2 linked regions of the Drosophila melanogaster genome follow. Changing the gene in region 1 together with any one later gene gives a genetic interaction. Each region holds a gene or a part of one and is shown on either strand. Other genes may lie near its edges.

What was found.
Region 2: of Alg3 (region 1) and grnd, changing one suppresses a phenotype caused by changing the other (phenotypic suppression), as found in Drosophila melanogaster (one study listed by BioGRID).

What each region holds. Positions count from the first base shown.
Region 1 is NT_033778.4:23,703,853-23,712,736, forward strand, and holds Alg3 (ALG3, alpha-1,3- mannosyltransferase), read right to left. Parts: upstream 5,941-8,884; 5' UTR 5,862-5,940; coding exon 5,576-5,861; exon of another isoform or gene 5,325-5,575; intron 5,175-5,324; exon of another isoform or gene 5,007-5,174; coding exon of another isoform or gene 4,778-5,006; intron 4,734-4,777; exon of another isoform or gene 4,640-4,733; coding exon of another isoform or gene 3,302-4,639; exon of another isoform or gene 3,061-3,301; intron 2,926-3,060; coding exon 1,679-2,925; 3' UTR 1,587-1,678; downstream 1-1,586. Other genes in the region: l(2)dtl (lethal-(2)-denticleless), read left to right, coding at 1-1,366; CG5504 (uncharacterized protein), read left to right, coding at 3,302-4,635, 4,778-5,006. UniProt on the Drosophila melanogaster protein: Probable alpha-1,3-mannosyltransferase involved in the N-glycosylation pathway. Involved in glycosylation of the TNF receptor grnd, regulating its ligand affinity. Required for normal epithelial growth and architecture.
Region 2 is NT_033779.5:18,482,427-18,489,507, forward strand, and holds grnd (grindelwald), read left to right. Parts: upstream 1-2,990; 5' UTR 2,991-3,541; coding exon 3,542-3,776; intron 3,777-4,199; coding exon 4,200-4,508; intron 4,509-4,590; coding exon 4,591-4,772; 3' UTR 4,773-5,595; downstream 5,596-7,081. Other genes in the region: CG10283 (uncharacterized protein), read right to left, coding at 1,468-1,543; kon (kon-tiki), read right to left, coding at 5,648-7,081. UniProt on the Drosophila melanogaster protein: Acts as a receptor for TNF-cytokine egr. Plays a role in activation of JNK signaling and is required for egr-induced apoptosis, including in wing imaginal discs during development. May also play an egr-independent role in cell proliferation.

The sequences.
Region 1 (8,884 bases):
CAAGGGACTCCTTAACTCCACGTTCTACATCAAATCCTGCCTCAGCCCGGACGGCAAGTATCTGCTGAGCGGAAGCAGCGACGAGCGGGCTTACATCTGGAACCTGGACCACGCCGAGGAGCCGCTCGTTGCACTGGCCGGACACACGGTGGAGGTAACCTGCGTGGCCTGGGGCTCCAGCCACGATTGCCCCATTGTCACGTGCAGCGATGATGCGCGTCACAAAATCTGGCGGATTGGACCCGACCTGGATGGCCTCAGCGAGGCGGAGCGGGCGGAAAAGTACCGAGGAACTGCCTCCTACGTCAGGGAGTTCGGCAAGAAGGCATTTGGTCCGTCTAGTGGAAATCACAAGTACAATCTTCGAGATCTGGAGTCCACGCCAAGATCTCTGAAGCGCCTTATGGATCAAAATGAAAGGACGCCAGGTTCCGTGGAAAAGACGACGACCAAGCGTTCGTTCCTGGAAATGCTGGGCGTAGCTGGCCAGGAGACGGAAGCCACAGAACAGCCCCAGAAACGGGCGAAGCCACTGGAGTCACGTGGAAGGCGGCTCTTTGGACCTTCTAGCCAGGAAACTGCTTGCAGGCACATACAACTTCAGTCCATAAACGAGGAAGATGCCTCGCCGAGCAAGAGACAAAAGGAGAACTCTGCCGCGGAGGATGTCTCACCACTGCACAAGCTTCTCAGCACACCAAGTCATTCCCCTTTGAGTGAGAATGTCAACCATGTGTACACCTCCCCGCCAACCACGTCAGCGGCAGCAGCAGCGGTGGCTGCAGACGCGCTTAATCCGCCGCCGATCTCCGCTGCCATCTACTCGCCCACCTCCAACCTGCCCAATTACGTGCTGGATGGCGAGGCACCGCACCTGGGCATCATGTCGCCCAAGCGGAAGGCGAAGGAGAAGGTGGACTGGCTGACGAATATCCGCAAACAGAAGCTGATGAGTGGCAGGGCCCATGTGACGCTCAGCGAAAAGATCAGCGAGGAGCAGCAGGCCGATGTGCTGGCATCCCCGCGCCTCCAGAGTCTGCGGCAGTCAGAGTGCAGTCCCAGGATACACGCCTCGCCCCGCAGACGCATCTCCCATACGGACGGAGGCGGTGGCACGCCGGCTGGCAGCTCCTCGCACTCCCATTCCCAATCCCAGCCAAAAACGCCCACTTCCAGTAGGCGAAACAGCGAGACGACGCTCCTGCGATTCTTTAGCATTCAGAGAAGTAGCAGTGTGCCGGCGGAGGAAACAACGACAACGAATGCGGCTCCCTCCTCTTCTGATCCCCATCCCCCGGCAGTGACTGCGCCCGCAGCCACGCCCCTCAGCATGCGCACGCCCACGACGGCGGTGGGCAGCGATTGACGCGGAGCCTCGAGCCACAGCACCATTATTGCACTTGTAGTTTTAAGCGGACATTGTTTAAGTTATTTTATGTAGATAGTAGGTTGCATCTATCGCGGGACGAGTTGGTAACCAACTCCCCGCCCTCTGTACAGAGCCAAAAGATACGAAAGACTAACGTACCCGAATAAAAGTAACTCCATTTTAAAGCTGCCTTGATTGATTCTCTAAAAACTAACTCGTTTAATGTACTGTTTATTCAATTTTTTTTTTGGCATAATCAAAACGGTTTATATGTGGCACTCATGGCTAACAAGTGGCACTCAGACCATTTTACTGCAGCTTTTTCTGTTGCTCCTGCTGCTCCCTCTTGGCCGCATTATTAATCCGCATGGTCTGGACAAGCTGCTTGGCCACCCCAGCGAGCAGTATGATGTGGGTGAAGTGAAGGGCAGCGCTGGAGAAGTTCGTACTGGGATAGGTGTTCCAGCAGTACTCAATCAGTCCGAGGATCAGGCAGCGCACGCCCAGCGAGTACGGCGTCGACCAGGCCAAATAGGGTAGCGAGTGGAAGTACCAGACGTAGAACTGATAGTGCAAGGATCGGGAGCAGGCCACGCCCACCAGGTTGCACAGGAAGAACGGCAGCAGGGCCAGCTGGGTGCAGCGATCGAAGTGGATGCCATAGCGTTCCGGTTCCGCCTGTGCGGGTGCCGGAGTGGCCTTTCCTCCAGACGCCTTCTGCAGGCTCTTCTCGAAGGCCTTCAGGAAGGATTGCTGCTCGGTTGTAAACTTCTTCTGGTCCTTGTCCTTGTCCTTTTCCACTTTCTTTGGTCTTTTCTGCGCGTTCAGCTCGAGGTTCTGCTGGGCTATTTGCGGCTGCAGCTGATCCTCAATACGGCGCAGGCGCACGTAGCTCTGGAAAAAGGTCCAAGTGGGCTTGGCGAAGGCCAGCAGGAGCAGCAGATGCAGGCCCAAAAGCGAAACGTGGAAGGTGCGGTTCTCGAACAGATCTCTGCTCAGGAAGCGATAGTTGACCGTCCACTTGTGCTCGAAGATGCGTCCCAAATCAAAGCTGCCCCGCAGATACTCCACAGGATGGGTGAGCAGGAAAGGAGCGCCCAGCAGCAGTTGTATCACTCCGCAGACAGCCAGCTGCAGGATCGTCCGCAGAAGTCCCAGGTTGGCCAAGTAGAACAGCAAGAGCGCAGGCGCAAACAGCAGGATGTTCATCTTAACGCCCACCGCCAAGCTGAAGAAGGTGCTACCCAGGGTCCACCTTCTGTCCAGGAACAAATTGAGTGCGGCATAGAGGAGCAGCACTGCCACCGGATCGTTGAACAGTCGCAGCACGTATATCGAGTGGATCCGATACGACGTGAAGGCACTGAGCACTAGCACATACGGCGGCACCTTTCTGCTCTTCGAGTACAGCCTCAGCACCAGGGCCAGCTGGAGCAGGTAGATCCCGGCGAAGATGTACTGCGCCAGGCGAACGTTCGTTCCGTGGGACGTGACGTAGTAGAGAGCCGAGTAGATGTACACGAAGGCGGCTGGATACACAAGAGGTCCTGTGTCGCCTAGGAAATCGAAAATCGAAGAATTTCAATTATCATAAATTAGATAGAAGGAATGCAATTAGTCATTGTTTTCATTCACTAAGCAGTTATTTCAGTCTGTTTGGGCCTGGGAAAACTATTATATCCATTGAGTTACACTTCATATTTATTTTAAAGGCAAAACTTTAGTTAACTTATTTAATATACGGCTTTTTTAACTTTAACGGTATATAACGATATTTCATTCGCTTTCACGCCGGTTGGTATTTTCGCTCGCTACGCACGCGGTCACATTGAGCAAGTGCGAGTGAGAGAGAGAGAGACAGACATTCGTAGGACAGCATGGATGTTACGGCATGTTGTTGAAAAGCTGAAAATCTGATACTTTTATGGAAAAATGATGATTTCGTGTAAAAAATTATTCGTGTTCCGGCAGCTGCCGGCGGTGCGCCGTTGCCTAGCGGCAGCCGCGTTCTCCACGCCACGCGCGACCTCCTACCGAATCCTCTCCAGCGCCGGGAGCGGAAGTACCCGGGCAGACGCACCCCAAGTGCGCCGCCTGCACACCACGCGCGACCTCCTGGCCAAGGACTACTACGCCACGCTGGGCGTTGCCAAGAACGCCAACGGCAAGGACATCAAGAAAGCCTACTACCAGCTGGCCAAGAAGTACCATCCGGACACGAACAAGGAGGATCCGGATGCGGGCCGCAAGTTCCAGGAGGTCTCCGAGGCCTACGAAGTGCTCAGCGACGAGCAGAAGCGCCGTGAGTACGACACCTATGGCCAGACGGCGGAAAACATTGGTCGCCAGGGCGGCGGATTCCCTGGCGGAGGAGCCGGTGGCTTTGGCCCCGAGGGTTTCTCGCAGAGCTGGCAGTTCCGCTCGAGCATCGACCCCGAGGAGCTCTTCCGCAAGATCTTCGGCGAGGGCAACTTTCGAACGAACTCGTTCGACGACTTCGCCGACTCCAAGTTCGGATTCGGCCAGGCCCAGGAGATGGTCATGGACCTGACCTTTGCCCAGGCGGCGCGCGGCGTTAACAAGGATGTCAACGTCAACGTGGTGGACCAGTGCCCCAAGTGCGCCGGCACCAAGTGCGAGCCGGGCACCAAGCCAGGTCGCTGTCAGTACTGCAACGGCACCGGCTTCGAAACGGTGTCCACTGGGCCCTTCGTAATGCGCTCCACTTGCCGCTACTGCCAGGGCACGCGGCAGCACATTAAGTATCCGTGCAGCGAGTGCGAGGGCAAGGGCCGCACGGTCCAGCGCCGCAAGGTCACCGTGCCGGTGCCGGCTGGCATTGAGAACGGGCAAACGGTGCGAATGCAGGTGGGCAGCAAGGAGCTGTTCGTCACGTTCCGCGTGGAGCGGAGCGACTACTTCCGGCGCGAGGGCGCCGATGTGCACACGGACGCGGCCATATCCCTGGCCCAGGCGGTGCTGGGCGGCACTGTGCGTGTCCAGGGCGTATACGAGGATCAGTGGATCAACGTGGAGCCGGGCACCTCGTCGCACCACAAGATCATGCTGCGCGGCAAGGGTCTGAAACGCGTGAATGCCCACGGACACGGCGATCATTACGTGCACGTCAAGATCACGGTGCCATCGGCAAAGAAGCTGGACAAGAAGCGACTGGCTCTGATCGAGGCGTACGCCGAGCTGGAGGAGGACACCCCCGGGCAGATCCACGGAATCGCGAATCGCAAAGACGGCAGTAAGCAAGCAACGTAAATAATCTCCCGATCTACCAATGCAATCTCTAAATGTAACTTGGAGCTTGAATTCGTAGTTGAAATATACGTGCGTTCTATGTGCGAGCTTTATTAAATGATGGCGTCTTTCTCTCCCCTTCCCCATCTCTCGTTGCAGCGCAGGAGCGAGTGAGGAGCCAGGAGCGGGAGCAGCTGCTAAAGCCAGTGCAGCAGCCGCCGGATCAGGAGCCTCCAAGCCAGGACCAGGAGCAGAAAAAAGCGAAGGCAAAGACCAGTGGACGGACAACGAGAAAACCAAAGCGAAAGAAGGCGGCGGATCCGGATCCGGACAAGGCGACGGCGGAGGCGGAGGCTTCATAAGCAAGATCAAGTCCATGTTCAACTGACAGGCGTTGGCAACCCGATGGCCGATTCTGTTTTTTTAGTGTCTAAGTTAACGCACGTTATTGTTGCTAATCTAAGTTCGGGCGGGAACCGGGGGAGTGTATTCCAAATACGACTCGGTTCGAGATGAATAAACCAAATTGACCGTCAGTCGGGCAAGTTCTGCGTTTAAGCGAGGCTAACTTCACTTGTCTTAATCTCACGCTGCTCCGATTTTCAGTTGCCTAAAGTTCGTGCCGCATTTGATGTCGTCCAACTCCCCAAATCTCTGTGTTTAACCTTTGATGGTAACTGTGTTCAAACATTTGAACCATATGTCAAACTACTCTCCTCGATTTTGAAAATACTTCAAACTTTAAAGTAACTGAAATATCAATTTTATAAGAATTCCAACTAAAAAAGAGCATAAACTATATAGCTAGTTGGAAATAGGCTATCCCCTTAGTAAGGTAACCTAAAATATCGTTATAACCACATCATGCGAAGAACAACAGGTGCACGCATATGTTTCCGCAACCGGAATGGGGTCACCTGTGGCCAAAAATAAACCAGGAGCGGCGCAGAAACTCACCGCGCAACAGACTGTAGTTGGTGGTGCCGTTCAGGAAGCCCTCGCACTCCTGCATGTAAGCCACCCAGTCGATCTCTGTGTAGGGCACCCGCTGGATGACCACCACGTTGATGACCAGCTCCGCCAGGAGCACGAAGAGGCCAACTATGGGCAGAGCGGCCGGCTCCAGGAGCAGATACTTGAAGAAGCGCACGTTGAGGTACTTGTCCAGGATGGAGTCCACCAGGGTGCCCGACTTCTTGCGCCGCACCGCCGGACGGTGGCTGGCGGCCTTTGGCGGGGCCATTTCTGTGATAACCGGCGAAAATTAATTAAAATTCAACTTGAACCGAAAAACAACCAGGGCGGCACTATCAAAATCAGCTGTTGCGCCTCCCATCGATAGCAGTCCAACTGGATTTTGCATGCTATCGATATTTTCCCAATTTAAATTTGTAGTTCTAACAGCGAGCACCAGTGGCGTCTTCCGCTTCCGGTTGTTGCTTGGTTTTCAAGAAAAGAAAATTTAATTTTATCACGCTGAAAATGCTTTTAAATATTTGTAATTTAATTTTTAAAGTATATTTGGGTTGCTACCTAAATTATTGTGGCCAAAACACGAGTTTTCCAAGGAGGGCTACCTTCATAACTTGGCCAAAAAAAGTCGCACATTCAAAAAAATTACTGTTTTAGACTCCTAATGATCCAAACTAACTATCCCAATCACAATCTTGACGATTTTCAATAATTAAATTTTTGGCCATTTTTTGCATTTTTTGTAAGGGGTTACATCGTTAAAATTTGCAAAAAATTGACAAAAATTAAAATTTTCAAATTTGAATGGGAATCGATTAGGAATGTGAATACAAGTTCAACAAGCTATGACACTCAATATTTGGGCCATAAAATCGATTGTTTTGGCCAAAATACGTATTTTTTGGTTGATTTAAGGGTTCACCTTCATAATTTGGCCAAAAAGAGTTAATGATTCAATACAGTACAATAGAAATATCATTATTTGAGGATTTGCTTGAATTTTATTGAATAGCAATGAGTTTGACAATTGCATTTTGAAACACATCCACTGCTTTTAGTTCCTGCTGAGTATTTACAATTTGAATGGCTGCATTTTTCCTAGCCAGCTGGATGTTGTAAGGCCTGCGGGTGGATTAAACCATAACATATATGTAGTAATTAGCAGAATTCCTACACGGCGAACGCTTCTATTCGGTCAAAATGGGTGGGCCCCATTTGGGGCGGGGGACCGGAACTGCAGGTGGGAATACGCAACAGGTACAAAACCAATCAGCTCATGGCCAATTTGCTGGCCAGATTAACGTCCATCGCTGGCGTCATCCCAATAGCAAACAGTCGGTCGTGGTCCGTGTGCTTTGGCTGGTTTTGCTGGCTTTGGGTGGTTTTTGGGGTGGCTCTGGCGGTTTAACGCATCGCTGAGATGCATTTGCCAGAGGCAAACGGGGTAACATAAGCCGGGCGAGGGTGTGCTCATGCAAACGCAGCTCGTTTATCGGGTTACAACTGATATGGTGGCCATGCCGCAACCACACTTAACCCACCATCGAGCCCACATCCTTTTCAGGACGCAGAACGCAGAACGCAGGACACAGGACCCAGGGCTCGGGACTCTGGACGGGGGAATGGCCCGCACCCAGACCCACCGGGCAATTAAATGTCAACCCACGGATGCGAATGGCTGCCCGATTTTCCGGCGCTGCCCCGCTCTTGTGTGTTTTTTCCGCATTTCGTGATTCATTTATTGTGTCCACTGCAGCGTGTTTGCTCGGAAAAAGAAAAACACGAAATAGTTGGCCCTGTTGTCGCTTTTTCCCGACATTTACCTGTTCAGTCAGCCAGCTGAAACACTGATATGCCACCAATTATCCAAAAAGCGAAAAACTGTAGCGAAAAAAGGTGCACGGCGATTTACAGGAATTTAGCCGGAGGATCCGTGCGAACTGGAATTCAATAACCCATTTTTGTCAGCTACATTTTTTCCAAAAAAAATCTGTTTAAAAACATTTTTGCTACAGATGAGTGGAGTTTTACCGTAAAATTTTTCTGTACTCTGATAATCCTTTGTTTCCCCTTTTTTTTAGCAAAAATGTTGAAGTGTGTCCCTTGATAGCAAAACTAATTATGTATGCCAGCATTAATTAAGCTTATATGCTTGAATACATCATTTCGCTGGAGAAAGAACATGCTCGAGAGAGTAATTCAAATTAAATATAAAATAATTTAAAAGGTTTATACAATTGTAAATAATAAAACATACTGATAGTCGTGCGTAATGTGGCAAGTCATGCATATTGACTAATTTAAGTGATCTGTGCTTTTTTCTTGGGGCCCGTACCAAAATAAGTTTAAGCATATGTTTTCATGTTTGTCGCCCCATATTTGTGGGTCAATCGCGTCCGAAGAGTTGGCTATCTCCGCATGAACTATAGAACTAAATCGGTCACTCCTTATCGGTCGCGTCGCCTTAGTCGACAGATGTACCCATGTGTGTAGACAAACCAACATACGTACAGCCTCAGCTACTTTCTGTGCGAGTGAGACAATTGTTTATTAATCAATAATAACAATAATCTACGCCACGCACACCGACACAACGTGTGTATTTCGGTATCGGCGCTGTTATCACTATCAGCCCGCTGCTGCTGTGGCTCCCATTGCTGATAAGCGACTTCCCCCACTCCGCCGCTGTAATGCAAATCAACAGCATTCGGCCTATGATAGTGATAGTGGCGAGCGGCGAGCAGTACTTTGCACTCGAGTGCTTATTAATTTCTCTTGCCAGCAGCGCACTCATTGCCTTTGCATTTTATTGTCTCACGATCTGGCTATAAAATGAAAATGGGGACGGGTACTTTATTTATCGCCGCCACTTATTGCAGTTCGTATGATACTCGCTCTATGGGCGGAAGAAACGGAGGCGGGGCAGTTCAGAGGCTCTCGAGCCGGAAAAAGTCTCTGTAGGGTAAACAAGGCGGGTTCCATGGCTCTGCGAAGTCTTTCTGCCGAGCTTCAGGTACAGTGGAGGTTCTACTGTGTGAAAGTGTAGTTAATACCTAAGTTCGTAAAGTTGCTAGTGCCATTTTTGCTTGCAAAGCATGCTTTGTTGAAAACCATTTGATATCTTGCTAGAAGCTTTCAGTTTAGTGACTCTACATCCCTACATGCTGGCAGTTTCGAACAGTTTTGAGCTGTATTCCAGTGAGGATTAATCCCATTTGAGTTCGAAACTATCGCCTCTTGTGCTGATTATTGTGGACAGAGATATTGGATCACGACACAGAGGGCTGACTGTGG
Region 2 (7,081 bases), on another chromosome or scaffold:
TTTTTCCTACCCTATTTGCGCTTCTATTGTAATCATTATTTTACAATATATATAATTAGACTAGTATAATGTGTATATACTTTTATAAAACAAAATCTTTATAATGGTAGATAACTGATTTTTCTTCAGGTGCATTCATTAAATGGAAAGTGCTAGCGGCAATCATTTTTTGCACCTCCAAAAAGAAGAAAATGAGTATGTATTTTCCCTTTCTGTAGCGGGGATCGCTCGGCTTCCCCTCAATTGCTCTAAAAGAAAACTATATAAGAGCTCGGTGTTTGTTTATTTTTCAACTGAAATCTCTTCTTCACAGCTTTGTCCGCTTTCGGTCGTTGGTCTGCGCTATGCGGTTTCTTCGGCTGCTGACTGGAAGTCTTTGTTTTTGTTTATCGTCTCATGAAGACTTTCAAAACCCCCCAAAAAATGAGGAAACTCGCCAACTTCTTGTGATTGTTACTGGGAGTGGAGAAAGTTTTATTCGGCTCGCGTTTTCTGTGTATTATTTTTTCTTCTTTGGGCAATCTGTTTCATTAGCATAACAACAAATATTGTTCACATAGTAGCCAAAAAAGAGATTTGCACAACAGCCAAATCTTTGTCATCGAGCATTTCGTATTCGCTTTCAATTAATTGAGCTTATTCAAAGAGGTGAATAAGCTAGCTTTTCATGTTGTAACATTTTTTCTATGCAAATGTTTTGATTATTACATAAGGTCAAGTAGAATGCGATAAGGGAAAACGTGCTCGATATGGCTTGTTTACATCTGAATCAACAGAAAAAAACTTATATTTAAGCCCCAAGGCGCAAACGACAGTGGAGAAGTTCTGAGAACTTGAGTGTTTGTTTTTTTTTTTTGGCTGATGTCGGCATTCAAAGATATCGGATCGGTGGAATTAATGGGATATGTATATTGGAATGGGGTATGAAAAGCGTTAGAACATTTATAATTCGTGATGTCTTGAAAGAAATGCCAAATTGAATAAAATGTGTGGACTAAAACCTTTTATATTTGCATATATTAGACAAAAATATTTGTTTAATTTCCAAATTTGATTTATATTCAATTTTGCAAGAAGGGTAAAGACAATATATATTTAATGAACTTTTTGTGAAGAATTCTCAACGAAACAATGGGCCTGACTTTCTTTATGAATAAATGGAAACAATAAATGACAACAAATACAACAAATTTGTTAAAAATTAATTTGATCGCTAGAGAGGTCATATCGTTAAAGAAATACCAAGTCAGGGGAAGAAAACGTTGAAGAGGAATTTTAAAAGACCTCAAATTAATCACTTCTATGTGGTGCTCATGCCCCCCCCGCCCCAATTCCAAAGCCCCTTCATCTCAATAGCTACACTCAAACCCAATCAATTTCCAATTATCCAAGGCCCCGTACGAAATTGTTCATGTTCAACCAATTTCGAAATGGTTTGCTTCGGTTCGGTTCTTAACCCATGCTTACCCTCATTAACATGTCCTGATCGGGGCAGCGCTTCCTTTGGTGGTGCGGCTGCTGTTGTGGTTGTGAAATTATTCATCTCTCTCCTCCTCTCGCCACCCTTCTCTTTCTAACAGGCTCTGGCTGTCTCTTTCGGTGGCTCAAATCTCTATAGAATATCTGTATCTCGTTCTAAAACAGGTGTTTAAATTGGGTAGCTCAAGGACGCGCCTTCCACTCCACTGATTTTTAATTTATGTTGGTTTACTTGTTGAAGCGGGCTGGCAAAATAGATACATAGATGCGGCGATACAGAGCGTGAGTAAACTATATTTTCATCTAATTGCGTCGCTCTCGGTGCAACTATTTCACTTTCACACTTCCACACGAGATATAATGCTTATAATTCCACAATTTCCACCATCAACACGCGCGCAACAACGACAGCTGCAATTCAAAATTCGATTTGATTTAGGTATTGTATCCCAAAGATACGCAACGAACCGGCGGCCGTCGTTCCACGAAAGCAGCAAAACAGCTCATTCAACAGCGAAAGCCGCTCAGCGAATGGATGTTGTTTGACTTGGCCATACAGTCCAGCTAACTGGAAGACACAATAATACTGCAAGCGGCGCTGGAACTGGAAGCCGATACAAATGTATCTCGAAAGCGGCACTGCAATGGAAGAGAGAATAAGAGAGAGGAGAGAGAATAACTCAAAACAGTGCTGCCAAGTTTCAAAAAGATTTCAAATCTAAATACAAAAAGTTATAATTTTACTATTGATTTATAAATTCATTAAACGGTATATATGTACATATGGTTTTTTATTATTATTTAATTTTCCAAAATGAGTTGGGAGCAACGAATTTCAGTATTTCTTTTATTTATGTATATGGCATTTGCTGTTTAGTAAAGACATACACCATTGCGTTAGCTAAGCGAGGTTTCAATCCTCAACAAATGCTACACTTAAAAAATTCCAAAATCATATTTAATTAGATAAAAATTGTGTAGCTAGAAACTTGTTTATAAATATCACGACTGCTAGTTAGTTGTGAAAGTAAGGTATTATAATTAAAATTTAAATAATAGGTAATGTTGTAAAAAAAACTTTAAACGTATAGTTCATATTGGGATACTGGGAATTTCAATAAAAGTTATCTTAAACATATTGTCGTTTATTCATATAAAACTTTATTATTATTTTAATTGATAACTTGGGTAATAAAGTGAGTGAGCAAGTAGTCTCTATAAAATACTTCTTGAGGCACTACCTTCTCGTTGTTATTTATTTTTATAAGTCAAATCGCAGCCGAAATTTAAGAAACTGAAGCCGGGTTCAAAGTATGCCGAAGTCGGGAGTATTTCACTCATAGCGCAAAATAAACAGTCGATCGCAGACACACAAATACTTGTATTACTTGCCACAGCATAGATATACAGATACTTTTGCATCTACAATCGACGTGAAAAAGGTAAACAAAAGTCAAGTCACGGTGCGAATGAGTGTGTATTTGAGATAGATGCCTCGGTGCGAGTGCTGAGTTGTTGGTAACAGCGAGCGATCGCGGCATTCCAGTCAGTAACGAGTTGAATGTGGCTCAAAACGCGTCGCTGAACGATGGCTAAAAACGTTTAAAGTTAAAAAGCGTATTAAATCATATAATATATAATATATTGGTGTAAAAAATACAGAATTAAACCTAATAATTAAGTGTCCGGACATCCCCTAGAAAAATGTGTGAAAATGTTGAGAAACTAACCGGAATACTATGAAAACTGCTGTAAAACTTGGCTAAGATAAACTCGTTTGCACCAATACACATGTGATTATACGTATAAGGGCAACGCAAAATACTCAGACTCCAGAAGCCAGCAATTAAAAAAGAAGTTAGTCAGTTAGCGTCTGGGCCGCGTTACTGGTGTATGAATCATACTTTGGATACGTTTAAAAATAACAAAACAAAAACCTTAAAACGAGGAAAAAGTTGTAACAGTGCTAATGTAAACTTCGATCAAACTTAGCGGAACGAGCTCGCTACAAAACCAAATACCCATAACAAGTAAATTAAGCACACATTATAAAATACCTCAAATGTCGGTCAGGAAGTTGAGTGCCCTATCGCTCTCCATTGGTGGAGTTCCGTTGATTCCAAGTGTTTCCTTGGTAGCTGCGGCCAATGGAGAGAGTAGGGATTGCCATGGCACGATCTGTCATCCGGTCAATGAATTTTGCTATGTTGCAACGGAGAGATGTCATCCGTGCATCGAGGTCTGCAATAATCAAACCCACAACTACGATGCGTTTCTGTGCGCCAAGGAATGTTCAGGCAAGTAGAATTCAAAGATTTCCAAAAGATTACCTCAGATTAACTCACGATCCATAGGGTAATTTGGCGGGTTCTATGCAAGTTCAGGTTTTTCCAGCTGGACTTAATTGTATTTCAATTACAGTTGCTTCAGCGGGTGATTAACTCATCACCCATGAGTTGACTAAAATAGGGGGTATTTTAAAGATTTAAAGAATGTACATTTTTATAATAAAAATGATTTGTTGAAACTAGCTTTATAATAATTTTTTTAGTGTAAAAGATTTGTAAAAGTTGTAATGGCAAGATAAGGCCAGTTGCATTTGCAATTTTTATCTGACTATGTACAACGAGTTATCAAAAACGTTCCCGTGTTTTATCAATTATTATTTACTTAAAACGATAATAGTAGCGATATTATTTAATTTCTTTATCAACCCACAGCTTACAAGACATTTGAGCCGTTAAAAGCCGAGATGCTGGACATCCAGAATACCCAGCAGCTGATCCTCTTGCTGCTGACTATCCTTCTCGTCCTGATTGCGCTTCGTTGCGCGTTTCAGTTCCTTCGATGGCTGATAGGCAATCGGTGCTTCCAGAAGCTGATGCGCCGTCTCCAATCGAAGGCCTACCCTCATCCGGCAACTGCAAATGGAAAGGATCTTAATGCTACCACCATACAGAATCTGAATGCCATTAACCATCCCGGCAGCGACCTTGAGCGGGCACAATCACAGATCTACAGTGTGGCAGGTAAGTGTAAGGATCTACCTGTCCGGGTTTTTCCAATAACACTTCCCAATGTACACATTATACCTGCAATGATTTATTACAGGTGCTGCCGAGGGTTCCGTTGTGACTATGACAACGCCGGTGAGCACTCGCTATCCGGCGGAAAACAGTACCACGCCCACAACGGTTATGACGGAGATCGGATACGGATACGATAATCAGGCCATGGTCGTAACGCCGGTTTCCGAGAAACCCTCAGCAGCGACGATTCCCGTCGCTTTCTAAGGCCATACAAGTACTTGAAAACTCTTACTTCTAAATCAGTCCAGCGAAAGCAAAATGTGCACCACATTAAAACTAGTGATATTTTTCATAGTTATTAAGCAAGAAGTCTTCTATCAATATGGAATATATACGCATATCTGTAGAATATAAACCTTAATTAATAGGTTTATATATGTTGGGACATATTTTTGATAACCCAATGTGGCCCTGAAAACTTATATTCGATCTGTATGAAATTATATGTAAAGGAACTTTTTTCTCTTTACTTTAATATTTTCCTTAAAGCAACGAAAATACTTACAACATCACAACTATGAACGAAGAGACATATTTATAACTGTTAAGAAATATATTTATAATGTTCAATTTATTATCATGTTAAGTTTTTTATGTGGAAAAGTTTTGTAAATGGTAATATGGGGGAAAACCAATTCATTCGCAATCACCACAAACGTTTCTCAACACACTTCCATCCGGTTAAAATAATTACGAATGCGAAATAAATCTTCCTGAAAATTTTTTGAGTTTTGAAATAAGACACGGGAACTACGCTTAAAAGTATTGTCATTTATTGTAAAAAGTATTCCACGTTGGCAAACACAATTCTAAGGCTAAGTTAAGTTGGCTTTTTGAGTATAACTCTTGTTCTCGTCCTTAATGCTAATCGTTTGTATATGACACGCCAGATATGTATGTGTGCTTGTTTCCAAACTATAATTAATGTTTTCGTATATAAAATGCTTCACTTTTCCTAACGAATCTCATAAATCAGCCTTAAACGTAAGCTTATATTTAAATAAATAACCTAGGACTAATTCCGATCGAATTGGAAACGCTTGTATTGATCCCTTTATTGCAGAACATCCTTCTAAACCTTACACCCAATACTGATTCCGCCTAAGTAGTGGATTTGTTGGCGGGGCCGAGGGCGGTGAGCTGACCGATCCGGAAATACTTTGTGGCACAGAGGCATAGCCAGCAAAATCATTCGCCATATCGCAGGACGAACTCCAGGCGTCGTGCTCCATGTGATAAGGATTATATCTCTGCGGCAGCATCATTTGCTGCGGATCGCACTGATCGTCCGTCTCCTCCTCATCGGGATCGTAGTCGGGATACTCATGTTTGTACGACTCCACGGGTATTATCTTGCAATGGGGAATATTGCTGAAACCCGGTAACGGTGTTGAATTTCCTGTGGCCGGCACGGAATCCGCCTCGGAACTTGCGTAATGGTGGCCATGATGATGGTGCAGATGGTGTTGCGGACTCACAGAAGTCAAGTCTGGTGGACACGGTAGCGCCGGCGGCTGATCCTTGGATATATCTGCCTTGTGCTTTCTCAGTTTCCTGATCTTTAATATCAACAGCACGATAAGCAGGCATATCAACACGATAAAGATGGCACATCCTATGGCTAAATAGTTAATGGATAATCCTGCACTGCCCAAATGAACCGTCTCGGTTTCCTCAACACGACTTCTATACTCAATCGATACGGTGGCCTGTGCCGGCTGAACTGTTTTGATTAGCAATTGATAATCAAAACTGTCATGATCAGCTTCTGTTTCCTCGACCGATTCATGGGGCACAAAGTAGACGACGCCACTTCGAAGTTCTTTATAAGAGAATATATTCGTGGATCTATCACTCTGGCCATCGGTTGTCAGTCCCGTGCTTCGGATTATCTTTCTGATTTGCCCAGTTGATGGCATTCTAGTGATCACAAACTTGGGGTTGAATTTATTTAGTTTCAACGACAAAGGATTATCGTTGTCCAAAGAGGTAATAAGCTTTATTTTACCACCCGAGGATTCAGCTTCCTTCATTACTATATCATTGATTTGTATTACAGGTTCCACCTCCATTACCACATCGACCTGAGCAACATAATTGGTGCCCGGAACATAGGCACTCACCTGGAAGGAGTCATTCGATCGGTTCAGGTCTGTTTGCATATAGCTTATCTGTGATGTTTCCAACTGTTGTTGCGTGAACCTCAGAGTTGGTTGATGTTTGTACACTATAATGCCAAAAAGCGGCGAGTTTGTGACGTTGTAAGACAACCTTTCCATATGCACATTTGTGGACACTCCAATATGATCCAATCTCATTGGAGCAGTAGTAGCTCCTTGCTGAACCTTCACTGGTGCTTGCATTGCTGACGGTTGCAGATGAATAGAATCTATTTTAATGGTAAATATTTCGTATGCAGGATTTGATTGCCCGTCGGATACGGTGAAGCAAAACGTCGTGGACTGTGGCATTCCAAAGTGGACATATATAATGCGATCGTTGTTAATATCAGC